4 linked regions of the Arabidopsis thaliana genome follow. The protein of the gene in region 4 interacts with the protein of the main gene of each other region in a biochemical or structural test. Each region holds a gene or a part of one and is shown on either strand. Other genes may lie near its edges. The genes, in order: MSL9, AREB3, RAV1 and OST1.

Region 1 (8,114 bases), on a different chromosome or scaffold from region 4:
TACTAATATTTAGTAAATTATATCACTTGTTTATTATTATACATGAACATTTTATATAAACATAGTTTGGAATTGTCATTTACTTAACATTTGCTCATTGAGTAGCCCCAAGACTGTGTTTATAATGGGAGGAGGTGAAGGCTCTGCTGCAAGAGAAATACTAAAACACACGACGATCGAGAAAGTTGTTATGTGTGATATTGATCAGGTTAATCTCATACCTCCAATTGTATTAACAAAAATATACGTTCATGCATGATCTTAACAAATACATGTTTTTTCTTTCTTCTTCTAGGAAGTTGTTGATTTTTGCAGAAGATTTCTGACCGTTAACAGCGATGCTTTCTGTAACAAAAAGCTTGAACTTGTGATCAAAGATGCAAAGTAAGGAACCTAAAACAAAACAAAACAAAAAAAGTTTTTATCTGACGTTTAAAATCTCTAAAAAATATAATTTGAAATGTGAAAAAGGGCTGAATTAGAGAAAAGGGAAGAGAAGTTTGATATCATAGTGGGAGATTTAGCTGATCCAGTGGAAGGTGGACCTTGTTATCAGCTCTACACCAAATCCTTCTACCAAAACATTCTCAAACCCAAGCTTAGCCCTAATGGCATTTTTGTCACCCAGGTCTATACATCTTTTATTTTTTCTTCTAATTATTCTTTGATAAATATTAATAATTTTAGAAGAATGATAACAAAAGACTAAATTTACTTACTTAAATCATTCATAGGCTGGACCAGCAGGAATATTCACTCATAAGGAAGTCTTCACATCAATCTACAACACCATGAAGCAAGTCTTCAAGTGTAAGCAAATTAAAGCCTGTTTCGTGTGTGTTCTTGTAATGACATTATTGGATCCATTTTTTGATGATTGATATAAAAACAGACGTGAAGGCTTACACAGCACATGTGCCATCATTTGCGGACACATGGGGATGGGTGATGGCATCGGACCACGAGTTTGACGTTGAAGTTGATGAAATGGATCGAAGAATCGAAGAGAGAGTTAACGGAGAATTGATGTATCTAAACGCTCCTTCTTTCGTCTCTGCTGCTACTCTCAACAAAACCATCTCTCTCGCGTAATTTCCATTTTTCTCTCTTTTATTTTCTTTTCTTAACACAATAAATAATTATTCGATTTATTTACAAAATTTTTGAAATTAAAAAATTGAGCAGGCTAGAGAAGGAGACTGAAGTTTATAGTGAAGAGAATGCGAGATTCATTCATGGTCATGGTGTGGCGTACCGGCATATTTAAAGACGAACCGGTTTCAGTTTCAGTGTTATTACCAAACCCATGTCACAAAAACAAAAGGCCGGTTTCTTTTCTCCGCACAGAACCGGGTGTTGTCTTGAATCTTGATTACTTTGGTTCGGTTTTATTTTCTACATTGCTTTTTGTTTTCTTGTTCTTCCCTCAAGTTATTCCGGTTTAACAAGACTATATTGCTTACTAAGAAAGACCGATCTTCAATTACTTATTTCTCCACACCAAATCTAGAAATCGAATAGGCCAATTATGGTTCGATTAAACCGAAGCAATTAAAGTAAACCCGAGTTTCTGAGTGCAATTAAACCGAAACAAATCAAATTTAAACCGAAGCAAATGAAGGAAACTAGTACTAGTGGAATAAAATGCAAAAGAAGAGAAGGAAAACACGATCATTTGTGACCAGTGAGATTGACATCTTGAGGAAGGAGAGTGTAATCGATCTCAAGATCCTCGAGAATTCGCTTGATTGCGATGATCAGCGCGGTTCTTCTTAAACTCTTCTCTACATATACTTGGAAATTTATCGTGTGTTGGACCAGTATATTCAATACCAGCTTGTTCATATTCTCAATTGCCCTCACCATCACCTGTGCTTCTGGATACCAATGTTGTGAGTTTGCCACCAAGTATCTGACCAATTACAACACCAAATTTAGAGTCAATGAAAAGTCAGTGATTTAATGTGGTCAAGGTCATGTTATATGGTAGTTAGGGGACTAAAATATATATGTGAAGAACCAAGATGCCTAATACTTACTCTCCGATTTTTCCCTTGAGACAGCCGATTTTCTCGGCCGGTGTTGAGAATGCGATGCCGAAGTCGACATAATCTCCCATATCTGGACTTCTGTAGAAGTTGCTTATCGGTTTCGATATTAAAACCGAATTTGGGTAGAACACTTTCTCGTTGTCAATCTTGAGGAACACGGTTGTTAAAAGATCTATTTCTTCAACCAACAACTTCAAGCAATAATATAAAAAAAAAATACCTCAATGATTTAGATGTTTTAACTGAGTAGTAATAGTGAGCAAATTAAACAAACTTGCAAAGTAAGTTACCATAACACCGTCGACAACGCAACGATCTCCGACGTCATAAGGATGCATCACAAAGACGAACATAAAGGATTCGAAGATATTCTTACAAGTACTTCCGATCATGAAAGCAAGACCCAAAAATTGTGAGGAGAAGACCAATAAAAGCTTGGTCGATGCTATATCCAGAAGTACCATCCAAACAATGAATGTGATAACGGTCAAGATTCCAGTTATAAGTTTGTCCAACTGCTTAACCGCTGTTTTTGTGTCGTTCAGTGAATGCCCTATAGTTTTCCGACTTGTGTATACATTAACCTGTCAAAAAATGGCACAACACACCTACTTTAACTTAACAACTTCTCTAAATAGACATGTGTTATGTTTTTATCTAGGGTTTCCTTTATTGGTAACCATTAGTCATCTAAAACAACTTTGAACACAAAAATTAAGGGTGTTTGAAGAATGTTACCACCCATTCTGTAAAAGTCTTGCGTGTGATTTTTCCGGTGTCGGCATCTTCTATTAATGGGAGTACAAGGTCTACTTCTTCCTTTATCATGAACCTCAATAAGTCATCTTCTTCTATGTAACTGAGAAATTAAAAAGCAATTCAAGTTGTGAGATTAACATGAAAACAGAGTAGAAGAAAACAGAGTATTTGTGTGATGACTCACTTGTGGTTTGGCTTAGCGACATTGTTGAAGACGTCATAAGCAGCAGCAACAGCCTCCATCTCATTTGTTATCTCTTTATCTGTTCTCTCTTTCTTATTGTTGACCTCGTCTAGAGTGCTGGATATGGTTGATATACCTGAAGTTCCCACGGCTTCGATCAAAACACGCATTGTCCAAGCAGAGACCTTCTCTTGTTTCATCCTGTGAACCTTTCCCATATCGATCACTTTCTTGTCTTTCACCTTTCCATCTTTGGTTCTTGTGAAACTTAGGTGACCTGTGCTTGGCACGCGCCCAACGTTCTCTGCCTCTTCGATAAGCGGAGGTCCCGAGAGAGTCTGAAGAACGTATTGGTGGAAAACAGACTCTTGAATCCTCTCAAAGAAGTTTCTGACGTTGAACTTTGAAGCAAGAACTTTCAAGGCAAACGTCTTCACCAAGAAAAGGATTGACCCTACGAGAAGAGAGACAATAGTCCAAGTGATGAAGTCTAGAAATCTCTTGGTCTTACGAGTACGTTTAACATCACCATCGAACAGACATATCCAAGCAATCAGAACCAGACTAAACCAAATGAAGACTTGAACATTCTTCTTCAACCCATGCACAAAGTACAAAACTTTTTTCCGAAGAAGATAGTTCTTTTCTATGATGAACACCACAAAATGCATGAACCAATTTGTCACCAACATGCCGCTGAGTGTAACCATCACAAGCACACACCATTTCCAAAATTCCAACCCCCAAATGGTATGCTTGTTCACCACATCAATGGTTAAACTCACAATTAAAGCCCCCAAAATGGCCATAAACACTACCAACTCAAGAAAGGCCAGAGGTTTCATTCCGCTACGCTTCACTCGGTGTAGCTTAACCTTTTTGTAGATTTCTTCATTTTCATCCGGTTCCTCCTCAGCAACTTTACTCAGTGCTGCTGACGCAACGCTCCTATTGGATTTGTTATTAGGAGAAGCCCTGTCAAAAGAACCCCTTGCAAATGAACCAGCACCAAACTGTTCCCTAAGGGACCTTCCACCATTTTCCTCTCTAGTGCTATCGTATCGAAAAGACTGTTGCTCCCCAAACCTTGACTTAGGCTTGGAGTAAATTGACCTCGAAAGAGACTTCCTCCGAACTAGACCTTCAGGACTTGGAATTTTAGGTGGCTTATGAACGCTACCAGAGAACTTATAGATTTCAGGAGTAGGAATGCTTATGGGCGGCACTGGTTTCGATTTCTCAATCCCAGCATCGGAGTCTGGTGAAGCCAATGGATTGAAAGAAGGAGATGCTCTTGGATCTTTTGAATCTTCTTTATCTGAAACATTAATAACAACTTCTTCTCCGTTACTGACTCTCCTCTCAGCCATCCCTAAGTCACTTCCAACCAATAAGTTTGCGGTGCTGTTTGACTCCAATGGCTCCCAAAAGAGCCTAGAAGTTGGACCAAATCCTAAGAACACGAGAGTAGAAGTGCATCAGTGATTACATTAATCACAAACTCTTTACACAATTAGATACAACGAGATTTGACATAACACATGCTTGACACCGACTTTGGACTTAGTTGACTAATGACTATTGACAAAATTTTACACCAAATCTAAGCTAAACCTTAAAACCTAAACCAAATCCTACAAGGCTAGAAAAGAGATCTGCAAGAAAGAACATTTTTTCTAAGTAAATGAGTACTCTTTAAAACCAACCAATTTTCTGAAGAAAGCCGTAAGAAGGATCAACAGTTTCCCAAAACACATATGTATACTTCCAAAGAAAAAGTAAACCAACAGTGCCTCGTTGGAAAATATTCAAACGTATACTTAGGATATAAGCTTACTATAAAAGTTACAGAGACAAAACAGAGCAGGTATTGAACTCTCTTTATCTTTGGGTGGACAAAAAAAAGAAAACACTTTTAGAAACTTAAAGAAACAAATAAAGATAACAGAGAAAGGGAAAAGAGAGATAGTCGTACAAGGACACTGAAAGGCCAAGCAAGGATTGATCTTGAAACTTTAGTTCTGCTTTGCAAAGAGCGAAAACTCCAGCTTATAAGTGCATTTACCAAAACGAAGAAGTTGAACAAATTTATTTTTAAAATGAATTCCAGTAAATACAGACAAGAAACAAATAGGCATCAATTAAATAAAAAATAAAATCACGTGGATCTCAGAGGGGATTCCCAGAAAAATAAAGTTTTATACTTCCAATGTGAATTGATAACAAAAAGATATGAATACAGTCTTATTTATTTATCTTTGTTGTTGTCAACAGTCTTATTTTTAATTTATAGACATCTTTTTCTTATGTCTCGCGAATATGTTTATATTTTTTAGTTTAGTTTCTTTAATTAAGTAGTACTATATTAATAATGATTCTTCAAATAGAATATTGAAAATTCAGTGTCATTTAGTTAAAATGATGTGATCAATGCATGTGATCTACGTAAAAAACAACATGAAATGAGAAGTCGCATTAGCTTGGTTAACGAACAAATAGAGAAGGGTTAGTTAATGCAGAATTGCTACAGCTGCTTATGAATGGGTCTGGCTAATATCATAGATCTTAAATTGCACAAAAATCATATAGTAGTAATGTAGTTATAATTTTTAAAAACTGTAATATAATAGTACCACTTAATAAGAGTTGAAAAGAAAAGACAAAGGCGACAGCAAGAATATATACAGACACAGTCCTTGGTTTTACCGTTATTTTCACAAATGAAATATATTAAAATTTCGGTAAAGACTAAAGACGAATTTGGCATTTCGATGAAAAAATCAACTTTTATATTGTTTTGAGTGTAAACTACGTACCTATCTTCTTAGTTCTTCCCATGATTTTAATGTGCACGGTAGGATATTTAAAATAACTCGCATCGAACAAATCCGAATTCAATTATTCAAAATTGAACCTATCCTTTTATGAGTACTAAAGGACGACAACAAAAATAGTAGTAGATAATTTCAATGCGTGGATATTTGAATTTAACTACTTTAATGTTATCTTGTGTCTATGTCATTTAGCCGTTAAGCTTATTATTTAAAAATGTAAATTTGTAATTAATAGATTTTTCTTATAAAGATGCCAAATATTGAATACATCTTTTTCCCAAATGTTATGTACAATTTGTAGGTACGTAATGTGGTCATGTCATCAAGTGTTTAATCTCACAAGTCGAAAGTAAAGGTGATATATGGACCAAAACATAAAACTCAAACGATATATGGACCAAAACATAAAACTCAAACGTGACAGTGACCAGTAATATGTACACTTTGACATTTTTCTTTTATTGGCAAAGGATTTGTTTGCAATAACAAAATAAAGTTTATAAAAGAATTAAACATGAACCATATCAACCAAAAAATAGAAGAGAAAATAAACACCCTATAAATGTAGCATTCAAAGAAATATACAAATTCTCAACCATCGTTTCACCAAACTAATAAGTGGTAAGTTGATAACTACTGATCAAACCAACATCACTAAGTAAGTAAGGGACCCCAATCGAAGCAGAGCCTAAGCTTTGTTTAGAGAGATCTTCTTGGTCTTTTGGGACAACGGTAACATCAGGTTGTAGTGTATAATGTCAAGGTGATAATGGTGATTATGTTCCTTCCAAGTTTCATAAATCGCCATCCTTGGAGCAGACTCAAGCTTTATCTGTTGTATCATGCAGCAACCAAGAGAAGTTGATTCCAAGATGAAGGAGCCAACTATAAATATGCAGCATGGTAGTGACTCATTGCCATATCTGGGAAGAGAATTGACACTCAAATTCTGTTAAAATATACACATGACATTACATAATTGTCTAAGTTAGTTACTAAAATAACACAAACTAAGTCCAAAATGAGCTCTGGTTTAGTATGATCAATCGGAGTCAAGTAAATTTAAATTCATCAAAAATATTTTACTTTTCATTACAGATTTACATATATACAAAATAGTACAAATTACAATTCATTCATATCAAGGTTTCACTCTATACCCAAAACTGGGAAGAATAAATTTTATCATTAATTTGTTTATTTCCAATTTTGTAGATACCTTTACCTATTTGAGAGTTGAGACCTATGTTATTTTTTTCCAAATAAAGAACAACCTAAATGTTAATTTTACTTTTTCCGGACTCTCTTTGGGAACGAGCCACTTTGAAGGCCCATAAATAAGCCCAAATATTTGTCAGTTTATTTGGGTTTAGGGTTTCTCAGAGTCTCACAGCTCAGGATATACTCTTTTAGGTTTCAACAGCAGCTTAGTCTCTCTGATCTCTCTACCTCCCTCACACCCTAAAACTCAGCAACAATGGCCGTTACCTTTTCAGATCTACACACAGAGGAGGGTGTCAAATCCGTGGAGGAGCACCTCGCCGGAAAAACCTACATCTCCGGGTAAAGTTTCTCACTTTTCCTATTGTTTTTGCGACACGATTCGATTGTTTCTATTCCCGTTTTGACGTATAAGAGAGTTTGAATTTGCAGAGATCAATTGTCTGTGGATGATGTCAAGGTTTACGCTGCCGTTCCAGTGAAACCCAGCGATGCCTTCCCCAATGCTAGCAAGTGGTACGAGTCCGTGGCTTCCCAACTTGCTAAAAGGTTCGTCCTTTTTTCGGAATTTTGTAATAATCGATTCAGATTTGGATTTGTATATTGATCTTCCAGGAATTGACGAGTTTTGATTTGTTGCAGTTTCCCTGGAAAGGCCGTTGGAGTACAATTCGGTGGCTCTGCTGCTGCTGCTCCAGCTGTTGAAGCTGAGGTACCTTTACTTGAATGCTTTATTCTTTATTACCATAGTCGTAGACCTTAGAAAAAGGGTAATGAATGTAGTTTGGAACTATGATTTGAAAGGTGATATTTCCAATCTTGTATTAGGGATCACGAGCTATGTTTGGTAGGGGAATTGATTGGAGTTTGGTTTGGAATGTTGTGTGTGTGTGTGTGTGTTTACGCTATCTTGCATAATTGTCAACAGGCACCTGCAGCTGCAGCTGATGATGATGATGACATGGATCTCTTTGGTGACGAGACCGAAGAAGAAAAGAAAGCTGCAGAGGAGAGGGAGGCTGCTAAGAAGGACACCAAGAAGCCTAAAGAGAGTAAGCCTCTTAA
Region 2 (7,325 bases), on a different chromosome or scaffold from region 4:
TGGTGCTGAAGGCATTTTGCTGCAGACTAAGAAGATGCTACCTTGTCTGGGTAGAAAATGGATGAGATTGTCAACGAGGAATCTAAAACCAACTTGGAACTTGATAAACGTCGTTGACGCAAGTAAAACAATTGTGAGAGGAATAAGCGGTGGAGCTGAAACGATAGCTAAAGAGAGAGTTGACACCGTAGTGATCGGTGCCGGAGTCGTAGGTTTAGCGGTGGCGCGTGAGCTCAGTCTCCGCGGCAGAGAAGTTCTGATCCTCGACGCCGCATCATCGTTCGGCACCGTGACGAGTTCCCGCAACAGTGAAGTCGTCCACGCCGGAATCTATTATCCACCAAACTCTCTAAAGGTACAATCTTTCTCTTGAGGATCGAATCAGATGTGTGTTTTGGTAAGTTCAATAGTGAGTTTTGTTTGGATTTTGAGCAGGCCAAGTTTTGTGTAAGAGGGAGGGAATTGCTGTATAAATACTGCTCTGAATATGAAATCCCTCATAAGAAGATTGGTAAGCTTATCGTTGCTACGGGATCCTCTGAGATACCGAAACTAGATCTATTGATGCATCTTGGAACTCAGAATAGAGTCTCGGGTCTAAGGATGTTGGAAGGTTTTGAAGCTATGAGAATGGAGCCACAGCTTCGTTGTGTTAAAGCTTTGCTATCTCCTGAATCTGGCATTCTTGATACACATTCCTTCATGCTATCTTTAGTGGTATATATAATAAACTTTTCCCCAGCTCTCTATATAGGGTCTTCATTGTTCTGTCTTTAGGAAAAGAGTTTTGATTTCATGGTTTACAGGGATAACAACAACTTGAGACTACAGGGAGAAGCACAGAACAACCACGCAACTTTCTCGTACAACACGGTGGTTTTAAACGGTCGTGTTGAAGAAAAGAAGATGCATTTGTATGTTGCTGATACCAGATTTTCTGAATCTCGGTGTGAGGCAGAAGCACAGCTTGAGCTTATCCCTAATCTTGTTGTTAACTCTGCGGGATTAGGTGCTCAAGCTCTAGCAAAGAGACTACATGGCTTAGATCATCGATTTGTTCCTTCGTCTCACTATGCTCGTGGATGCTACTTTACACTATCGGGCATAAAGGCTCCACCTTTTAATAAACTTGTGTATCCTATACCTGAGGAAGGAGGTCTCGGTGTCCATGTCACTGTAGATTTGAACGGACTTGTTAAGTTTGGACCTGATGTAGAATGGATTGAATGCACAGATGATACATCAAGCTTCCTCAACAAGTAAATACTGCATCTGTTCTTAAATTATCCTTTCTATTTAGTCCATTTTGAAGTTACTCAAGATCTTCATGCTGTTTGTATTCAGGTTTGATTATCGTGTAAACCCACAACGATCAGAGAAATTCTACCCAGAGATCAGAAAGTACTATCCGGATCTCAAAGATGGATCATTGGAACCGGGTTATTCAGGCATCCGTCCTAAGCTTTCCGGGCCAAAACAGTCTCCTGCAGATTTTGTCATACAGGTAAGCTTTTGTTTATCAAAATGCATCAGACTACACTCACAGCATTAGGTCCTGTGGAATCTTCGGTTTTGTTATGAAACCATTTGTTATCCTCAAGAGTCTTGTGTGTTCCTGATGCAGGGAGAGGAGACTCATGGAGTTCCTGGTCTTGTTAATCTCTTTGGCATCGAATCACCTGGTTTAACTTCAAGCTTGGCTATTGCAGAACATATAGCAAACAAATTCTTGAGATGAATTTGAGTTAAAAGTTTACATTTAAGAACAAAAGTGGCCTACAAGAAGAAGGCTTTGCAGAGTTAAACAATTTTCCTTTCAGTGTGATCCATTTAGACTTTGTCTATAACTCTTTACACTTTGCAATCAAATGCTATAAGAATAATAAACACAAGTTCCTTCTGTTCAATCTCTGAATTTCAATCGGACTCATGAAAACCATTACTGCTGCTAGTCTGCTACTACAATAACTCGAGAATATTTTAAAGTTAACAGAATTGCTCCAAGTCAAGAAAGTCTACGGAATGTACAAAGAAACAAAGCTGTTTTCCTCTCTTTTTTATAAGTGAACCGACACAGAAGAGAAAAAAAGAAAAAGACAAAAAGAGTTTAGAGATCAGAAAGGAGCCGAGCTTGTCCGTCGGAGCTGCCGCTTGGGATCAGGCGGTGGTACACTTGGGAGGATTTTTTCCACCTCCTGCAAAGTAATGTAAGGATTAGCTTTGGCCACACATAAACGCAGACAAAATTGAAGAACAGAAAGTCCATGAAGACTAGAAACCAGCAAGACCAACTTGTTCCGGGTAAAGGAAAACTATGTCTCCTAAGACGTTTGGTCTAAACCTATTCCTCCTGTCTCTTGTTCGTGGTTATATTTTCTATCATATATTGTCTACTATGCGTGTGCCCTATTCTATACTTCACTACATCTTCTATCATCTATCATTCCCTTTAATATGAATCCAGAACTAATCAACGATCAGCTCTTACAAGTTTCTAGTAATCACAAATTTAATCAATGCATGTGTTGTAAAAAGGGAGAAAAACCTACAATGCATTACCTTTTGCTTCCTGAGTCTTTCGTTTTCTTCTTCTAACCGTGAAACTTTGATCTCTAGCTCATGAGTGTAAGCCTGCTCATCAATATCCAATGTTAAAACAAAAACGAGCATGACTTGACAAGAAGAATAACAACAACAAATTAGTTGTTTCTCACCTGTTTCCTAGCTCGGGAACGAGCAGCAGACTCTCTGTTCTTTATCATTCTCTTCTGCCTCCTCTCTACAGTCTTCTCTACAACTTCTCCTGAAGCTACCCTCTTCCTTCCAGGAGTTTGTGTATCTGACAAACCACCCATCAAAGAAGACTGAGACACCATTGCTTGCATATCTGAAACCGGATAGGGCATAAATGCTTGAGGCTGTGGCATTGATGGGAGCTGATGATATTGAATCCATGGGCCAACTTGAGTAATGTTTTGCCCTAAACCAGCACCTGAACCAGCACTACCACCACCAACAGGACCATCATGGTTCGAACCAGGGATAGTCTCAGTGACCACTCCTGCTTTCAACAACAGGTCTTCAAGCGTCATTTCCCCAAGTGTAGGCTGCTTATCCCTCCTCTCATGAGCACTACCTCCATTCTTATTCTGCTGAATGTCTTTCCAAACCTCATCAACAGTCTTTTTGCTGAGATCCCGAGGCAAAGTCAAACTCCCCTGGCGAGAAAGACCCTCCTGAGCAGCTGCTCCACCATTGACAGCCATAGACGATGGCTGATTAGCTTCAACAGAACAGACACTCTTCAAAAGCTCATCAAGGTTCATGCTTCCCAGAGCTTTACCAGAACTCCCCAAGTGATTTTGAACCTCATCAAGTGTTAAGCTGTAAAGAGAGCTTTGCCTATTCAAGGACTGAGATTTAGCTTGTTCAACAATACCCCTCTGAGAATCCATAGGCTTTTGTAGCGGACAAAAAACAACAAGACAGATAGATAAAAACAATTCTGAACCCACAAATCAGAAACCCTAATGCTCAATTTGATAAATAGCCACACGACGACGAATTCATCAAATCGAGCCTAAATCGGAGGCGAAAGTAACCTTTTTTCTAAGGTAGAGTGGCGAAACATGCAGAAGAGAGACGAGAAGAAGAGAACCCAGAAATCAAATCGAAGGAAATGGCAGAGAGAAATCACGGCGTTGTAGCAATCAGAAAGAGTCTTGGGAATTGCATGCAGCATCGAAGGCTATCAAATGCAGATACTAAACATGGAAATCGCAACACAAGGACAATCAAACTCTTGCGAGGTACAGACTTTTCGAAGAAGAAGAATAAATCAAAAACTTAAGCAAGAGAAAAAGCAACAATCTTTTGGAGCTTAAAAAGGACCAGATCTAAAACATGGCAAGTTTGGGTTTTTCTTTCTCAAAAGAGAAACGAAACTATGATAAGTGCAGAGACAGATTTACAAAGCAAACCTAAACTCTGTGTCTGTGTGTGTCTGAGTCTCTCTCTCTCTCTTCGTTTTGTTTTCGCGCAGGAGAGGAAAAAAGAGAAGAGAGAGAAAACCTTTTGATTGAGAAAGTGACACTCGATACTGTGGCAATGCCCCCCTCTCAAGCCTCCTGTGGAATTTTCAATGCGTTTCTTCTTTTTTTAGTTGCCCAAAAATGGTTTCTCAAACTTTCGATCAAAATAAGAAACAGAGGTTTGTTTAAACACTTAATGATTAGTGATTAACTTAAATGAAGGTGGAATCAATAAACACTACATGTGCTCGGAGACCCTTCATTCATTTAGCTTCAATGGGAATTTAGGTAGATTGATTATCAAACTTTAATCAGAAAAGGTTATACATATACATGTTTATGTTCTTTGGCTCTCAACACTAATCCTCATGCCTATGAGTTTCTCTTTAAATGGTAAGTGATTACTATAAATTAATCTGCAATCATGTTAAACCATTTTTAGGCAATAATTTACATGTATTTTTTTGCAATATTGAAATCTCAAACCTTTAATTATACTTTCTATTATCCAATCTCAGATTGGGTTTTATGAACATTGAATGTGGCTTTGAAGAATATTGCATCTTGGATTCTCTTCATCAATGAAGGACCTTTTTCCCTTTTCGAAACTTGACATAACAATTGAGAGATTGTTGACTTGAGATCAAATACACAAAACTCTACTACTTACTTCCCCCAATTCCACTTCAGCTTCATATTCTGCTTCTCTTCTTCATCATCAATGAACCCTTCTACTATGTATCATCATCATAAATAATATTCAAAGCTGCACTTTTCCAAAAAGAGATTTCACCATCAAAGCAATCATCACCAAAAAAACTTTATGCATTCACGCCTTTATAAACTCCTCTGAAACATTAAGGGAAATAATATATCACCTCGTACTCTTGTGACTTTTCTAATAATCCCTGAACCTTGTGCACAAGGACCTGAAGGTACATGCTCTCTAGACCAAAACCAACTTTTATCACTTCAAAGAGGGACTAGGACCAATAAACAAGAACATATATAGGCAAGAGATTCGCACTGAGAGATATACTTTTAACACTTTTGATTACTTACCCTTCAATTGGAAGCACGTTGTATATAGCCAAAGAAGATACTCAACACTTTGAACTTACCTTTTAGTTGCAAGCATGTTGTGGAGATCCAAAGACTTAACTGCCTGTTGTCGAGAAACTCTATTCGATAGCTTCCACTTTTCAAATATTGAGAAATTGCCTCAGAAAGATCATTCTTCAGCTGTGTCGTTGAGAAGCTTGCACCACTTCCCACCAAGTTTGACTGTTCCAAGTTGGCTGCAACTTAGTAATTTTATGACAAATAAGTTTGGAAACAAAGTTCTAATTTGAAATAGTCATTGTAAAAACTTTTGAAACTTGTCATAGAAAATCCAAAAACACAAGTGAGAGAGCTCTGCTGCATTTTAAAATTCCAAGTTTTGATCATTTCAGAACCAATTGCATTCAGATTAGTATATGTGTGCTAAAGAAATTTCATTGACAGTTAGGGGTACATAATCTGGCTGTTCAACCGCAGTCAATTACCTGCAAGAGGAATAATTGAACAAACATAAAATCAGGATAGTACATAAAGCCAGGTTAATCAAGATAACTTGGTACAAAATACACTGCAGGCAGAAAAACACATGAAATCGTAAAACAGAGAAGTCAATAAAAACTATTTAGGAAAAACTAGAGTTCGATAAGCAAAGACCCACATGGAGCGTAGTTGCGCTTTTTTAGTTTTACAAATGAAAGTCTAAGGGGGATATTCAGAAAACTGAAAAAATAGAGACATAAACACTGAAAATAGTAGTACAAAGTTTTTTTTAGGAATTTCATAAAGAGAGTTTGGGAAAAACAAGTAGATGAAAACTAAAACTCCTTAAAAGGTTTTTTATGAGTTTGGCCTTAGGAGTGACCAAAGAGTAACATTTCATAAAGACTTCATTTAGCATCAGCTCCTTATAAACTTGAGAAGAATCACCAGGCCAATATTAAAACACTGATTTCTGATATCTGCACAATGAATTTAAGAAAATAAGAGAAGTAACATGCTTTAACAACCGTTGCAAAATCCCCCAAAACTCCAATGCAAACAAAAACCATGTGGATATACACAGAAACTTCTTGTCTTCAGACATCAGTAAGTTAATATATACTGAGGAAAGACATTTCAACAATTAAACAAGGGAAATTCATTGCTCTACCTGAGTGGATGGATACATGATACATTTAGTGACCCATGTAAGGAGTACCGTATGGCCCGACACCATGTTGCCCTCTACTTGTACCGCCTTGACCAGGTTGCGGAGTCTGATAACCGCCTTGCAACCCAGGTTGTGTACCGTACCCAGGCATTGTCCCCGGTGCCATAGCTTGAGTACCGTAACCAGTTGGCATTCCAACTCCATTCCCTGGGTTTACACCAGCAGCTGTCCCCAAGGAACCCAACAAAGCCTGTCCAATTGCCGGATTAAAAGCCAAACCAGCTCCCTGAGATGCCAATAAAGCTGTCAAGGCCTGTCCAATGGCCGGGTTTATCACCTGTGCCGTTGGACCACCCATCCCAGCTGGGTTACCAGCCATGAGATGTCCATGACCTCCAGGCGGACCATAACCATTGTTATCATTCCTTTGGTAACGAGGATTGTTATAGGCGTGTGGGTTATGGTGATGCTGCTGCTGCTTGCCCGGTTTGGGACCATCGATAGCTTTCTGGCAATGCAAGATATGGCCTTCAAAAGTCTTGTGTGGCTCCTCCAAAGCCCTCTTGGCGCTTTCAGACGACTTATAAACAAAGAGACAGAAACCTTTAGGTCTCCCAGTATACTTATCAAGACCCAAAGGACCTTCTTCAATTTCTCCAAACTTTGAGAAAAACATCAGCAACTTCTGTGGATCAAGCTCTGCTCCGACATTACTAACATAAATCTTTTTCTGAGTATGCTCCGAGTTCGAATGCTGAGCAGGCGCTGAAACAGCTGCAGCAGCGATAGGAGCTCCACCAAAGACAGGTCCTTTAGAAGCCAATTGGCATGCCGTCATACGACTACCAATCTTCTTCTGAGGCTGCTTGAGTGCGTTGCGAGCACCTGAACGAGACTTGTACAGAATAAAGCCATAACCTTTAGATTTCCCTGAGATCTTATCAAACACAGCCTTGCAATCTTCGATCTCTCCGTACTGCTTAAAAGCTTCAATAAGCGTCTCTGTTTTCGTATCCCAACCAAGACCGTGCACAAAGATCTTCCGATGAACAGGGTCCTCATCAGCTACTTCCCTAATTCGA
Region 3 (6,536 bases), on a different chromosome or scaffold from region 4:
TAAATTATTTACATCATCATCTTTAGAGTCGCTATAAAATAATATAAAAGTTATTTACATTATTAAAAACTAATATAAATATATAAAATAACTTTTTTAATTGTCGTGTCTGTATATTTTTTCTTCAGTGTGTGTATTTTTAAAATTAAGAAAGACGAAACCATGAAAAAGTTACTTCAACACATTCAATGTGAAAGCTATATATGAAATAAAAAAATATCCCAACGCATTATAATTCAATTAGACAAGTCGAGTTTTCTGGTTGAGAAAAGAAAAAACTTTAACAAAAAAAATTGAAAAAAGAAAAGAAACCAAAATCGTTTTTTCCGATATATCGTGTGTTATACGTTGACAAAATAGGTACTGATGGAAATTATTTACCGACAAGAAAATAATTAAATATATCAACGAATTGACAAGCTAAATAAGCTAAAGGACCAAGTTGAGGAAAAATGAGGTCCACCTGCGGACCAATAACAACTCGTCCGTACTAATAATATCTATTTATACCTATGTTGGATGTTTCAAAAAAAAAAAAATTAGCATCATAAATCAGATACTTTTTCCTTTAGCACTCTTATCTATTTTGTTTCTCTATAAATCACATTCTAAGGTCTTCTACCTCCTTTGCTCAAAAAAAAAAAAGGTCTTCTACCTCTTTTTTCTAAAAACATACAGTATATAATTGTAGTTTTCTTATAAAGGAGTAAAAATATGATAAAAAGTTCTGTTACTCTTTTATCATATAACAAAACAACTTTCACTATCTTTGTAATATCTATAAAAATATGCAATGATATAAATTCCAAACAAAATTTACAAAACGTATAGAAGAAACTAACTAATTCTGATATGATCAAATCAAAAGTATAAAACAATGAAAGTGTACTGGTGAAAATGTCTCTCTTTTGTAAGCAGAGGTTACACAACTTCAATAATGTATCACTTACAAAACCAATTTTTCAATTTGGAGCTCAAATACTTAGAATCATAAAAGAAACATGGATGAGCCCAATCTCTCTTACGGAGACAAATTCCATGAGAAAAGAAAGCTGAGTTAGCAACAAGTGCCACGTGACAACATACTCAATTTCTTCTAAGGAAAATACAACCATCTATTTCTTTTTGTCGCATACCCACCCATATATGATATACTTAGAACCATTTTAAGTTTTTTTAAAACATAAAAATACGATTTTAAATTTGAAAATTTGATTAGAGTGTGATTATCTAATTATTGTGTTGTCTATAAATCTACACAGTCACTACTTTCTACCACACTGATTTTAACAAAATCAATTAAAGTTGATCAGCACTTATTTCTTTCATATGGGCTTAAATGCCAATTTACTTATATATATTTTGATGAAAATGTGTGGTAAAACTTAAGAAACAAAAAAATCCTAACACTAATTAGCGCCTAGGTATTTTGAGCAATGCCTCTTTAACTTAAAAAGAAAAAAACGAAAAAAGACAAAAGTAATTGTCCTGCTGTCAAGAAATGCCCATATTATTATTCATCCACACAAGACACGTACGACCATGCCTCTTAGTGATTTGTCATTGGCCCACTTCCCATCCTAGTGGATCAAATTGATAATAAATACTATAATAAATAATTACAAGAATTCAAATAGAAACCGGCAAATCAATTAATAGATATAAAAAGGAGATATAAATCGTTAACATTTTCTATTGGAGCAGGGAGAGCCAATAAAAGTCGAATCTCACGATATTTCGCAGTTCTCTAATTGGCTCTTTGCATAAAAAATGAAACCTAACTAATGGGTAGAAGAATACTTTTGCAAAGCAACAAATATATCAGATAAGATCGTAAGCTATCCACATCACTTGTTAATTGTCCTCAAACCATATTATATAATGCAAACAATTTATGGCGTTAAATCCTTACGTATTTATTCTCTATAAGAGTAAAACACACACACTGAAGGCAACTGATTTAATTGGATTTCTATTGACCAGTAGAAATACTTGTTATGATGTCGGTCGCTCGTTGGCTAAGTATTTCTTATAAATATATAAGACATATTTAAAATCTTTTTACATTACATACACCCACTTATGAGAAACAAATATAATAAAATGTTGATACCAAATATATATATATATATATAATAAAATGGGATAATTACAAGAACAACAAAAGAGAGATTTTTTATGAATTTGGAATTGGAATCTATCGAGTGCATATATTATACGGACAATAATCCTCATAGCAATACACATTTTTTCTATAAAAAGAAACGTAGGATAAGATTATAGAAAGAAGAATAAAAACCTGGAAATGGAAAATAAAGAAGATATATATCATGAGTTCATGACTAAACAACTATTTATAGCTTTTTCAATAATAATATCATTCAAGAGTGAAGAATAACAATCAGATTTGGAAGAGAAAAAAATTTAAAGAGAGACACCATTTAACATCGGTAGGATCTGAACATGGTTATCAAATCTAATACTTTCTATTTTATTATTTTTCATATAGTTATTATCGTTACTATAGTATTATAGTGAATTAAAATTTTAAGCATCAAAACTCAGGGGGGATGAACTTCACTAAAATGATGTCAATATCTCACGTGGACCCTTTATCCATTCCATGGCCCACACATGGGTCCCACTTCCCCATGCACACAGCCCACAACATATTCATTTCTATATTTGTTCCTATACTCTCTTTTCTCTTTTTCTTACATAAATAAAATACTAACTTATTATAAGGATTATTATTGCTTCGTGTGTTTTCTTCTATAAGTTACATCAACAGTTCATGAAATAGACCCTAATATAGTAACCTAAATTAAATGCCGTATATTTCATTATGTTTCCACGAAGCTTCCTTTGTGTTCTTTGAGTTGACCCATACACACCCATCTTACTTCCCATGCACCTGCACATATACTATAATTACTCCCCTCAAACACGCATTCTTACAAATATATTTTTTGTTATTACCAAATAAAAAGTGAAACATAAAATAATAATATCAGAAGTGACACTTGCTGTTTCTTATTTCCCTCCCCCCAAGCTCTTTCTCCTTCTTTCTATATATATTATACACACACACGTATACATATACACAACATAATTCACAACACAACACAAACACATTTCTGTTTTCTCCATTGTTTCAAACCATAAAAAAAAACACAGATTAAATGGAATCGAGTAGCGTTGATGAGAGTACTACAAGTACAGGTTCCATCTGTGAAACCCCGGCGATAACTCCGGCGAAAAAGTCGTCGGTAGGTAACTTATACAGGATGGGAAGCGGATCAAGCGTTGTGTTAGATTCAGAGAACGGCGTAGAAGCTGAATCTAGGAAGCTTCCGTCGTCAAAATACAAAGGTGTGGTGCCACAACCAAACGGAAGATGGGGAGCTCAGATTTACGAGAAACACCAGCGCGTGTGGCTCGGGACATTCAACGAAGAAGACGAAGCCGCTCGTGCCTACGACGTCGCGGTTCACAGGTTCCGTCGCCGTGACGCCGTCACAAATTTCAAAGACGTGAAGATGGACGAAGACGAGGTCGATTTCTTGAATTCTCATTCGAAATCTGAGATCGTTGATATGTTGAGGAAACATACTTATAACGAAGAGTTAGAGCAGAGTAAACGGCGTCGTAATGGTAACGGAAACATGACTAGGACGTTGTTAACGTCGGGGTTGAGTAATGATGGTGTTTCTACGACGGGGTTTAGATCGGCGGAGGCACTGTTTGAGAAAGCGGTAACGCCAAGCGACGTTGGGAAGCTAAACCGTTTGGTTATACCGAAACATCACGCAGAGAAACATTTTCCGTTACCGTCAAGTAACGTTTCCGTGAAAGGAGTGTTGTTGAACTTTGAGGACGTTAACGGGAAAGTGTGGAGGTTCCGTTACTCGTATTGGAACAGTAGTCAGAGTTATGTTTTGACTAAAGGTTGGAGCAGGTTCGTTAAGGAGAAGAATCTACGTGCTGGTGACGTGGTTAGTTTCAGTAGATCTAACGGTCAGGATCAACAGTTGTACATTGGGTGGAAGTCGAGATCCGGGTCAGATTTAGATGCGGGTCGGGTTTTGAGATTGTTCGGAGTTAACATTTCACCGGAGAGTTCAAGAAACGACGTCGTAGGAAACAAAAGAGTGAACGATACTGAGATGTTATCGTTGGTGTGTAGCAAGAAGCAACGCATCTTTCACGCCTCGTAACAACTCTTCTTCTTTTTTTTTTCTTTTGTTGTTTTAATAATTTTTAAAAACTCCATTTTCGTTTTCTTTATTTGCATCGGTTTCTTTCTTCTTGTTTACCAAAGGTTCATGAGTTGTTTTTGTTGTATTGATGAACTGTAAATTTTATTTATAGGATAAATTTTAAAAAGGGTTACTTAGATATGTCTCAAGAGTTTTATTAGCATGAGATGATGAAAATGTTGTTACCAAATCTTACCTTGGTTTCTTTTCATTTTATGTGTATGGGAACTCGTATTTATATGTATGCATTAGCTACTGCTTATGGTATTTGCTGCTTTTTGTATATAGATTTGAGGAGTTATGACTTATGCGTACGTAATTTTATAAAATAACTCCAACCAAAAGAGAAAAAGTTTGCAGGGTCTGTAAACGTATATAATCGTATGATGATATGATAGACCATACTCCGATACAAATAACCAAAGAGAAAGATATTTTAAAATGAATGCTATTTAAGCTTTTGCAAGATATTATTTTAAGCTTCAGAAATTATTGTGTTGGTAGAGAGATTCATGTTGCTGTTAAATAATATATATGTATTTATAATTCTATCTACTACTTTTTCGGCTTAACTCAATCTAGATATTTGTTTCTAAAAGTGTTTTAGTTTTCTTTCTTTCGCTGGCTGCGACTATGAGTATCTTCAGATTCTCTACAAACTTAGGTATATATAGCTATTTATTTCGAAGGAATTTGATGGTTAAAACGAATAACATTAAAACTCTGTTAATCTCTTACGAAATGGTATATAGTATATGCGTTAGAGTTTGAACATATGATGATAATAGTACACCTGCCGCATACATTACTATGTACCTACATAAAGGAATATATTGACCATTGATCTAATGAATGTTCCGTTCATATGCACTTTCTTTCGATACAATTCGGTGGACTATAACATTATTCCATTATAGCATAAAATCCTATTATACAATTAAAAATGCCCACGCAATTTTACGTATACTTTTGTCTATAACACACATCCACACATAATTCAAGTTGTGTTCAAATAGTAACACAGCAGTAGCTTTAGTGAAAATTATTAGACTTGTTGATACCAAAGACTAGAAAGAAAGAAAATAAATAAATGTACTAGAAAAAATCCACCATCATAATCGTTATTGTTGTTTGATTTTTGTGGATCCATTTAGATATACATTTATCAACGACTAATTCTCAATCTAACAAATTCTATAAGATAGGAAAATTTTGAAAAAGCACGATCATAATTTAGAAAAACACAAGTTAATCATAAAGTTACTAATTTAATAGCTATAATTTCTTTTAGTTACAAGAACCATAAAAATGTCGTCAAATATCTTTTAGATAATCTTGTCATAATTCAAAACTTCAAGCAAATCATATCTTCATAAACCCCATATGGCCTAAAGTAGCCTATACTTGATCGATCATATACAAGCCCAATGGGCTTTAAAGTCCATTAGTTTGTTAATTAAAATATCAAGAACCATTTTTTTTTTCTCTTCACTGCAAATTTTGATATTTTGGGTTTTAGCAGTGAAGTTTGCGAAAATGGCGTCTTCGGTTTTTCTATCCAGTTTCTCGTCATCGTCTTCTTTGCAACTCTGCTCTTCCTTTCACGGCGAGTACTTAGCTCCGTCGAGATGCTTTCTCGGAGCTCCGGTCACTTCCTCTTCTTTATCACTCTCCGGTTTGTCATTTTTACTTGTCACTGTTTCTTCGTTTGCTCTGTTCGTTATTCAATTATTGCTTCGTTTTTCATTGGAAGATATCGAAATTATTGGTCATCTGATTGGAAATTTTGAAACTTTCTCCGTTGTTCCGATTTTGAATGTTGTATAATTGAAGAACTTTGGTGTATGAAGTTTATCTTCTCTCATATCTGTAGGTAAGAAGAACTCATATTCTCCGAGACAGTTCCATGTTTCTGCCAAGAAAGTTTCTGGGTTAGAGGAAGCCATTAGAATCAGAAAGTAATTAACTTTGTTTAACTCTCTTGTATCATAAAAATGCAATCTTGAAAAAAGAATTCATCTTTTGGTCATAGAGCTAATAGTACATTAATTTGGTTTACATTTTATAGAATGAGAGAGCTTGAAACTAAATCAAAAGTTAGGAGAAATCCACCATTAAGACGTGGAAGAGTATCGCCTCGTCTTCTTGTACCTGATCACATTCCAAGGCCTCCTTATGTTGAGTCTGGTGTATTACCGGATATATCAAGTGAGTTCCAGATTCCTGGTCCTGAAGGCATTGCGAAAATGAGAGCTGCTTGCGAGCTTGCTGCTCGGG
Region 4 (8,007 bases):
AATTCTGAGTTTATAATTTTATAATTTTTTCACTTTTTTCTTTGGTATTTAATAATGTTTTTCAACTTTTCTATGGGCACTTTAATGTTTTCACCTTTTTTCCTCTTATTATTAATGTTTTTCACTTTCAAGTTCTTTTTTTTTTTTCTTGTTAAAAACACCTTTCAAGTTCTTACACTGACTTTTATTTCCAATCATAGATATTCGATGTATATCATTCTAAAGATTCAAATAAGTGCATTGGGTTATTTTTGTGAAAAGAAGTGGTTTCAACTTTCAACTAATTAGAAAACAATCATCGTCTCAACTATATATAGGTTTTCGTCTCAACTATAAGAAATATTATCTCACCAAAAATATGATTACACTTGACTTAGCTTGAGTGAAATATACTTGTCAGACAAACTGGAAAGTTAAAGCCAAATTCAACTACTTTGAAAGGATATATTAGTTTAGGATTCGATTTAACATACCAAAATAAAAAGAATGTAACATGAACTGAATTAGGTCTACATTAGCTTGTCGAAAATCGTTTTCGTATGGAAACACTCACCAGCAAGACAAATGGTCGAATCCTCATAATAGAGATCCCTCCCCAGTCCCCACACTATGTCGAATAAGCCAATGTCACACCATAAATAATTAGTCATTTTCAAACTACTCTAGTCAATTATTTTTTTATCAAAAAAAACAAGTTAATAATGTACTTGATTGTTATGAATATCACCATCTGGATGCAGAAACTAACAAATAACAATCAGAATTTACTTGATTAAGTGTCGGAACGGAAATAATGAGCAACTCTGCAATGGCAAAAAAGGCTACCGTTGGACAAGTCTGACGGCAATGAGGAGATCATACTTGATGATTACTTTTATTTTAGTGACAAATCAATCTATCGGAAATTACAATGGATTTATATGATTATTTTGGTACAAGTTTTTATTTCAAATTTTTCTGTAAATCTTTTTCACATTGAGACAACAAAAATTATGCTTTCGCTAAATCCGACACATATTTGTCATAATTTTACCCAAAAAACTAAATTCCGTTGAAATTGTATAAAATTTCGTAGTGAAAGTATAAAAACATAAATAGAAACATAAACCACAACGGTCTTTGGAAATCTTGTCAAAATCGTTCATATCTCCTGTCTATCGGCCAAAGCCATATTGTGTCAGTAATATTTTTCCCAATCCAAAATAGAATTTATTTTAAAAAATACTAATAATGTTATTTATCCACTATGCCTATATCCAGAGTGAATAGGTAAAATAAATGGTACAAAATAGTTTGAAACTAAAAGAAAATAACGAAGATAAGAAGACAATAATGATATCAGTTGCTAAGGCAGACATATCTCATCTATAACTCAAAATCATTCACGTTGTGTTACAGTACAAGAGACACTGTCACATAGGTCGACCAACCATGCATGCTTCCATTTTCTTAATAAAAACGTTGCAAATTGTAACTGCTTGTTTTCTTCTTCCTTTTTTTAAAAAAATTAAAAACATTGAGTATTTTTTAAAGTAGGAATAATATTAATTTCAATGAACAAGAACAACTATCAAGTACTGGTTCATTATCAATTTATTATTCGAAAAATATTTAGAAAAGAAAAAAAACGAAGATGCGTGAATAAGCATCTTTTTTAATTTAAAGCGAATTACCGTACGTATGTCCTTCTGAACATATAACATGCATATTAAATTATTAATGAATGTGTTCCATCTACATTTATGCTGTTTTTGTATTTTTTGTGAAAATGGGAATATCATCTTATTTCCATATAGTTCAAGTCTTCAAGATATGCCCCATCTATTTACTTCAGTTTGATATTATCAAGTACCCACTTTAATCTGTATAGTACTACAGAATATCGATTTCTTTATCTTTTGCATAGCCTATATGTTGTTTAGTTGTCAACTTCTCCAAATTAGTTTAACAATTTTGTTTCTAGTATTATTAGAAAAACAAACAAAAAATACTAGAGAGAGTAGATAAAATACTGATTGATGAAAATGTTTTTTTTTTTTTTTTTCACTTTTGTTTAGAAATTTAGTCTTTTGCATATCAAAGATTCAAAGTGTACTCATTGAGACAAAGTTGGGCCAACTCAATAGCAAGCAAAACATCTTAATCTTATTCTTCAACATTTTTTGTTTGACATTTTTGTAGCAGAAACCATGCAAATAGATATATAGTATCACATTGCGTACACAATCTCTCCGCTACTGTCGATGTCAAGATCATCAAGGTCGCTCTCTAAGTCTTCCTCCATATCGTCATCTATGTCCAAGCTTCCTGTTTATCCATTAATGATAAGTTTTTCAAACATTGAGAAGCATTAAAAAAGACAAGAAATCGAAAAGTTTATGTTTTGTGTTGTCTCACCTGTGAGGTAATGGTTCAGATTCTGAGTGCCTGCAGGAGGAACAGTTGCTTCTGCAATGATCTGCATAATTTCTTCTATGCTTTGGCCCGGTTGATCCGATTCATCAAACTGAGTGGTCATCGTGTTATCGTTCATTAGATCTGCCGGTAGATTCTTTAGAAACCATTCATGGTTCCTTATTTCAGGAATTGATATCCTCTGCCAAGAAACCAACCAAGAGGGCCAAAATGCAAAGTTCTCTTTTCAGTCATACTATAAAGAAAATTCACAAATAAATCAACAAATGCAGCTTTCATGATCCTTCCTTTACCTTTGCAGGGTCAGCAACAAATATTCTGGAGATCAAATGGCGACATTCAGGAGATATGTGAACATAATCCGGAATAGCATACTGAACATTCAGGATTCTCTGAGCAAATATTTTCACAAGAGAACAGATAGTTTAGCTAGCAAGTAATAAAATCCATAATTACATTTTTCAACTATTGAAGCATGAAGAAAGTGAAAGGCTCACATGTATAGTTTTCCTGAAATTCTTTGGTTCCTCGGGATCTTCGAAAGGATATGCTCCAACCAGCATGACATACAGAGTAACCCCACAAGACCAAACATCTGCAACCTGAAAAAAAAGAAGAACATTAGGATGCATTTGACTAATTCAACCAAAACTCAAGAATTATCAGTTTACAAATCAGACTCTTAATAGCTTTCTTCACCAAAATTCTTGAAGAGCCAAGATTGTTTTATTTGTGTGAGCTTTCATCAAGAGAAAGCATGTTTCCCCTATCTATAATCAGAGGATAAAAATACAAAGATTGTTCTTTCTATAAGATATGGTTATCATACTAGTTTGGGAACTATGAAAATGGAGTACCTTTCCATCATATTCTTTCTTTAGTAAAACCTCAGGAGCGATGTAAGCAGGAGTTCCAACAGTTGATTTTGGTTGCGAATGTAACACTGATGACTGAAAAAGAAAACACAAAGCTTAGAGATACTAACTAACTCAGAGTTTCTGAAATGTTTTCAAAGATACCTTAGAATATCCGAAATCACATATCTTTAGACGAGGGGCCGGGCTACCATCTAATAACGTATTCTCGAGCTTTAAGTCTCGGTGACATACTTGCTACAACATAAAATTTAACTTCTTAAGTCAGCTGAATTTCACAGAGGATGAAGCATTGATTTGATAGAGAGCATTTTTCATTACCATAGCATGACAGTAACTAACTCCTGAAATGAGTTGCTGGAAGAAAAACCTCGCCTACATGATAGTAAACGATATATTAGCCTCAGCATTTTGAATCTTCGATTAATCATCAAAGCAAGAAAAAAAAGAGAGAACAACCTCGTCTTCGCTGAAGCGGCCTGCATTGCAGATTCGCTCGAAAAGTTCTCCTCCAGATGCATATTCCATAACAATGGCTAAATGGGTTGGTGTTAATATAACCTGAAGCAATCCTAAGGATTAAATTATAGAATTCCTTTTTTTTCCTGAAAATGTTAATAATAAGAAAACAGCTTAAAAGAGAGTTGAAAACAAACCTCTTTGAATCTAACGATATTGGGATGTCTTAAGGACCTGTGGTTGATTATCTCCCTTTTTACATTTTCATCTATCTGTACAAATACAAAAAGTCCCACCATTAATACCACGTTCCATAACAAAAGAAACACCTAGAGCCTTTAAAACAACACTATACAACATAAGTCATAAAGCAAAGCAGAGCAAATTTGGTCTTCCATAAAAATCAATCAATTTTGTAAATCTATAGGGTTAAACCATTCATAACCATAAAGTAACCAAACACACATCTCTCATTGGATGATGAACACACAAAAATGATTTCTTTTGAATTCAAGAACCTAGTGAATTGAAACATAAAATAAAATTGGACTAAGGAGAAAAAACAAGAAGAAAATAAACTGACCTTCTCACCTCTCTCGATATATTTAACAGCAACAAGCTCATTACTTTGCTTGTCTCTCATCAATCTCGCAACTCCAAAATTACCGGAGCCAATATCCTTGACGAGTTCATACCTATCACTATCGTGCATAATCGGCAAATCCATTGGACCACTCACTGCTGGTCGATCCATTTTCTCCCCCTCTTTCCTCTGTCTCTTTGCGACTTCAATCTCTGTGTCAAGAAGATTTCTTTTTTGGGAGACAATATCTAACGACACCAAGACATCAGAGGAAATGAACAACGGTGTGACGTGGATGAATTTGAGCCTTTAAGATGAGAAAAGGAGTATTGGGTGATCAAGTTATGGTTGTGAGAAAGAGACGTTTTCAGAGACCCGTGAAGTATCTAACCAACAACACAAGTGGGTTTCTTGAGATCCTTTTTGTTCCTTTGATCGCTCTCGATGAAGAAGAAGAAGAAGAAGGAAGGCTCGTGATCTTGAACTCTGTTTCTCTCTCTCTGTCTCTCTCTCTATCAGCTTTCCTTTTCTCTGTCAATATAAAAAGGAAACAGCTTTCTCTGTTCTGTTTAAACCACAGCTTGAAGTAAGCTATACAAAACAGAAAGATGAGAGAGATAGAAGAAGTTTTCGCTTTTTCTGTGAACTGTTGAATTGTGATTTGTCAAAGCATGGGAGATAGTTTGAAATGACGGATTTACCCTTTCTACTTACAACGTTCTGACAAACAATGGGGCCTGTAGTTTTTAGAAATGTTTTTTTTTACCGTGACTAGTATAGAAAATAATATTTTAATTAGTATAAACTTTCTTTTTATTGGCAAAGTATTAGTATAAACTATGTGATTTGTTACTCTTTATTTTTCAGTAAGTTTTATCTCTCCATAATATTATGCATTAATTTTTTCCGATTTATTATATGTCTTATTGTAAATAGTATAGCAAAAAATATGAAAATATTAATTGATTAAATTTATGCCTAGAACAGTTACTAAAAATATCTAAGTTTTCAAAAATATAGCACTAGAATGGTATGAGATTTAAAATAACAGATTTTGAATTGATTTTATATCCCAATTTAATTTAATCAAACACAGTGAAAAATGAAATAGAAATAATTTAAATTAACAATTAGTTTTTCTGTTAGTGGATCTATATATTAATATCGTAATATGTCCCTTACATATGTACATTTTTGGCTACTGGATTAATTTTGCCCCTTAAATATGTCCTGAAACGGAGCTGATGAAACATATACTCGCATTAAACAAGCTTATGGCTAATCATGGGAACCTCCATGTATTAATGACCACTAAAAAGATTTACTTTCTATTTCGGTATATAAAAAGGGTTTCCGCATTTAAAAACGGAAAATAAAAGAAAAACAAGTTACCACAAATGTCGAGATATTGTTGGCTAGCTTGTCAGATCTTCACCTAAAAGCTGAAACCGATAGAGTTGCACTCATCATCACTATAGCCCATCATTTTTACTATCTAAAGTTTTTGTTTATGCGCATCCACATGACGATTTTGCTGCAAACTTTTTTTTTAATCATCTTTTAAAAACATATATCCGTACTTAATATTCCCAATACACTCTTCTAGAGCTCGATCATTCCATGGACGTGAACATTTTGTCTTTGTTTCTCTTCCCTTTAGTCAAACAAACATTTTGTCCTTGTTTCAAACTAAAATCGATTTCTTCTAAATAAAGGAAATTCATTGACTAAACGAATGATTTTAGTGAATGAATGAAAATTTCTCATTGTGAAGCCTCTGTTTCTCTATTTACTTTTTTACTATTTAGAGTACCTTTCACCGAAATTTTCAATCAATTCCTTTCAATTTTACTACATGTTCAAGCATTCGAACAAAAGCAATCGTTGCAAAAAAGACTAGATCGGAATGCCTTCTACCCAAAAGAGAGAACTCAATGCAAACTGTTTATGAAATTTTTGAAAAAAAAAACTGGATTCATTCCGGTTGTTGCGAGTACCAACCAATGGAGAAAGATTGACCTTAGTTATTGTAGTTATCAAGGCCAAGGTCTCTCAGTGCATCAGTTGCAGCGGCTCTGCATGTCTCATTGTTGGCTTTAGCAGTTCTTATCAGCTTCTCGATTCCATTAGCAAGCAGAATAGTTCTGTAGTGTGCATGCAGACAGAACTTGATATTATAAAAGAGTTTGCGATATGTGCATATTGTTGGATGACAAGAATTGGAAACAGAGCAAAAACCTGTTCTCTGCACTTCTGACAGCAATGTTCCGTATCATGTTGCAAGCGTTTCTCTGCATTTGAGCAGCTACTGGGAACCTCTTCATTGCTTGGACCGCTAGATCACCAGCTCCAGCTTCTATAGCCTTGGCTGCGTGGTCTGGTGATCTCAGACAGATTATAGAGATTATCAACATCACCTGAACCAATCAAGTATATCTTGGATCAACCACAAGGATTATGCACTCAGACCCTAATGCTACAAGAAACATTCTTCACACGACATTACGTTCTATCTAGTGGAAAACTGCCAAAGACGTGACCTGTAGTCACAAGTATCTTCTCTAGACAGGAAGATTTAAAATTGCGCATGGGACATAGTGTCATAAGAGGGTTTTCGTTTGGTTTATATACTTACCTCTTGTATGACTAGAGGATCATCAGAGAATCGTAGTGCGAGTGTGATTAGCTTGTCCAGACCTTGCTTCTCAACTATGGTACTCTTGTTAGAGTCACTTCCTGCCAACTAGAGATCAAAATACAAATTTTAGATAAACATTTATCATGCGTGGTTACAATGCTAATCTAAATCAGTAATAGGCTTTGGAAAAGCTTAAAATTTGAGAACATGCATTTATTAGAAGCACATGAACATAAGCTACTCCTTAATATGGTGCGGAAAATACTTGAAAGCCTGAGTTTTAAAGAAGGATTTTGAATAACCAAAGGCAATGAAGACAACAGAGGCAGCCTGCAGGGCATATTAGAAGCTACTCACCTTAGACAACAGGGAACAACATGTCTTAGCAGCAGTTTTGTTGCCTTGCTCACCGCTATCATCAATACACCGAAGAAGTGTATCTATTCCACCGGATTCAGCAATAGATTTACATATTTCATCCTGTTTACAGCAAAACCAGATGAAGAACTTGCAAGAACCTAACCAGATAAATGTTATCACACAGAGATTTCAACTAGGAGACTTACATTGACAGCAATTGCTTTTAACGCAGTACTTGCTGACACCAAACTATCAGAGCCAATCCCTGCCTGTAATGCTTCAGTGAGGGCTGTCGCAATCCCTAATTTGGCAAAAGTTCGTGCATAACCATAAACCTGAAACACATGGAAGCAAAAGTCTAGTGGATTTGAATTCTCAAAGCATGTCCATGAATAAGCACAAAAAACAACGATTATAAATGTTTGCTAAGTGCTATATAGCTGTTTTCCCTTAATTTCATTCCCGCAGTCAAAAGTGGCATATACCAAACGAATGTAACCATACTTACTTGGGAAGCAACAACACGGAAGTCATCTGGAGTCAAAAGAGCACAAATAGCATCGTACAGAGCTCTAATGGTAGTTTTACTCTCTCTATTCAACACTTGCAGAATAAGTTCATCGATTTTCAGTTCCATGAATAACTGTTTCACAACTTCATTACCAGTTGCTGCAGCA

Evidence for each region.
Region 1: of the proteins of OST1 (region 4) and MSL9, one has a biochemical effect on the other in vitro, tested with the Arabidopsis thaliana proteins (one study listed by BioGRID).
Region 2: of the proteins of OST1 (region 4) and AREB3, one has a biochemical effect on the other in vitro, tested with the Arabidopsis thaliana proteins (one study listed by BioGRID).
Region 3: of the proteins of OST1 (region 4) and RAV1, one has a biochemical effect on the other in vitro, tested with the Arabidopsis thaliana proteins (one study listed by BioGRID).

What each region holds. Positions count from the first base shown.
Region 1 is NC_003076.8:6,582,329-6,590,442, reverse strand, and holds MSL9 (mechanosensitive channel of small conductance-like 9), read right to left. Parts: upstream 5,089-8,114; 5' UTR 4,970-5,088; intron 4,953-4,969; exon of another isoform or gene 4,701-4,952; intron 4,448-4,700; 5' UTR 4,365-4,447; coding exon 2,995-4,364; intron 2,911-2,994; coding exon 2,790-2,910; intron 2,636-2,789; coding exon 2,342-2,635; intron 2,243-2,341; coding exon 2,040-2,242; intron 1,913-2,039; coding exon 1,672-1,912; 3' UTR 1,477-1,671; downstream 1-1,476. Other genes in the region: ACL5 (S-adenosyl-L-methionine-dependent methyltransferases superfamily protein), read left to right, coding at 106-208, 296-384, 472-628, 735-810, 893-1,088, 1,186-1,267; AT5G19510 (Translation elongation factor EF1B/ribosomal protein S6 family protein), read left to right, coding at 7,306-7,391, 7,482-7,598, 7,692-7,761, 7,978-8,101. UniProt on the Arabidopsis thaliana protein: Mechanosensitive channel that opens in response to stretch forces in the membrane lipid bilayer.
Region 2 is NC_003074.8:21,044,440-21,051,764, forward strand, and holds AREB3 (ABA-responsive element binding protein 3), read right to left. Parts: upstream 4,176-7,325; 5' UTR 3,456-4,175; coding exon 2,715-3,455; intron 2,632-2,714; coding exon 2,560-2,631; intron 2,196-2,559; coding exon 2,115-2,195; 3' UTR 1,795-2,114; downstream 1-1,794. Other genes in the region: AT3G56840 (FAD-dependent oxidoreductase family protein), read left to right, coding at 26-355, 436-717, 832-1,259, 1,345-1,504, 1,625-1,738; UBA2A (UBP1-associated protein 2A), read right to left, coding at 6,269-7,325. UniProt on the Arabidopsis thaliana protein: Binds to the embryo specification element and the ABA-responsive element (ABRE) of the Dc3 gene promoter. Could participate in abscisic acid-regulated gene expression during seed development.
Region 3 is NC_003070.9:4,539,204-4,545,739, forward strand, and holds RAV1 (uncharacterized protein), read left to right. Parts: upstream 1-2,964; 5' UTR 2,965-3,182; coding exon 3,183-4,217; 3' UTR 4,218-4,767; downstream 4,768-6,536. Other genes in the region: MAP1C (methionine aminopeptidase 1B), read left to right, coding at 5,796-5,934, 6,133-6,217, 6,328-6,536. UniProt on the Arabidopsis thaliana protein: Binds specifically to bipartite recognition sequences composed of two unrelated motifs, 5'-CAACA-3' and 5'-CACCTG-3'. May function as negative regulator of plant growth and development.
Region 4 is NC_003075.7:16,268,860-16,276,866, reverse strand, and holds OST1 (Protein kinase superfamily protein), read right to left. Parts: upstream 5,123-8,007; 5' UTR 4,504-5,122; coding exon 4,333-4,503; intron 4,022-4,332; coding exon 3,947-4,021; intron 3,852-3,946; coding exon 3,750-3,851; intron 3,666-3,749; coding exon 3,612-3,665; intron 3,528-3,611; coding exon 3,435-3,527; intron 3,366-3,434; coding exon 3,273-3,365; intron 3,018-3,272; coding exon 2,913-3,017; intron 2,808-2,912; coding exon 2,709-2,807; intron 2,597-2,708; coding exon 2,398-2,596; coding exon of another isoform or gene 2,351-2,397; exon of another isoform or gene 2,308-2,350; coding exon 2,210-2,307; 3' UTR 2,042-2,209; downstream 1-2,041. Other genes in the region: AT4G33945 (ARM repeat superfamily protein), read right to left, coding at 6,353-6,476, 6,571-6,749, 6,968-7,075, 7,328-7,450, 7,537-7,665, 7,839-8,007.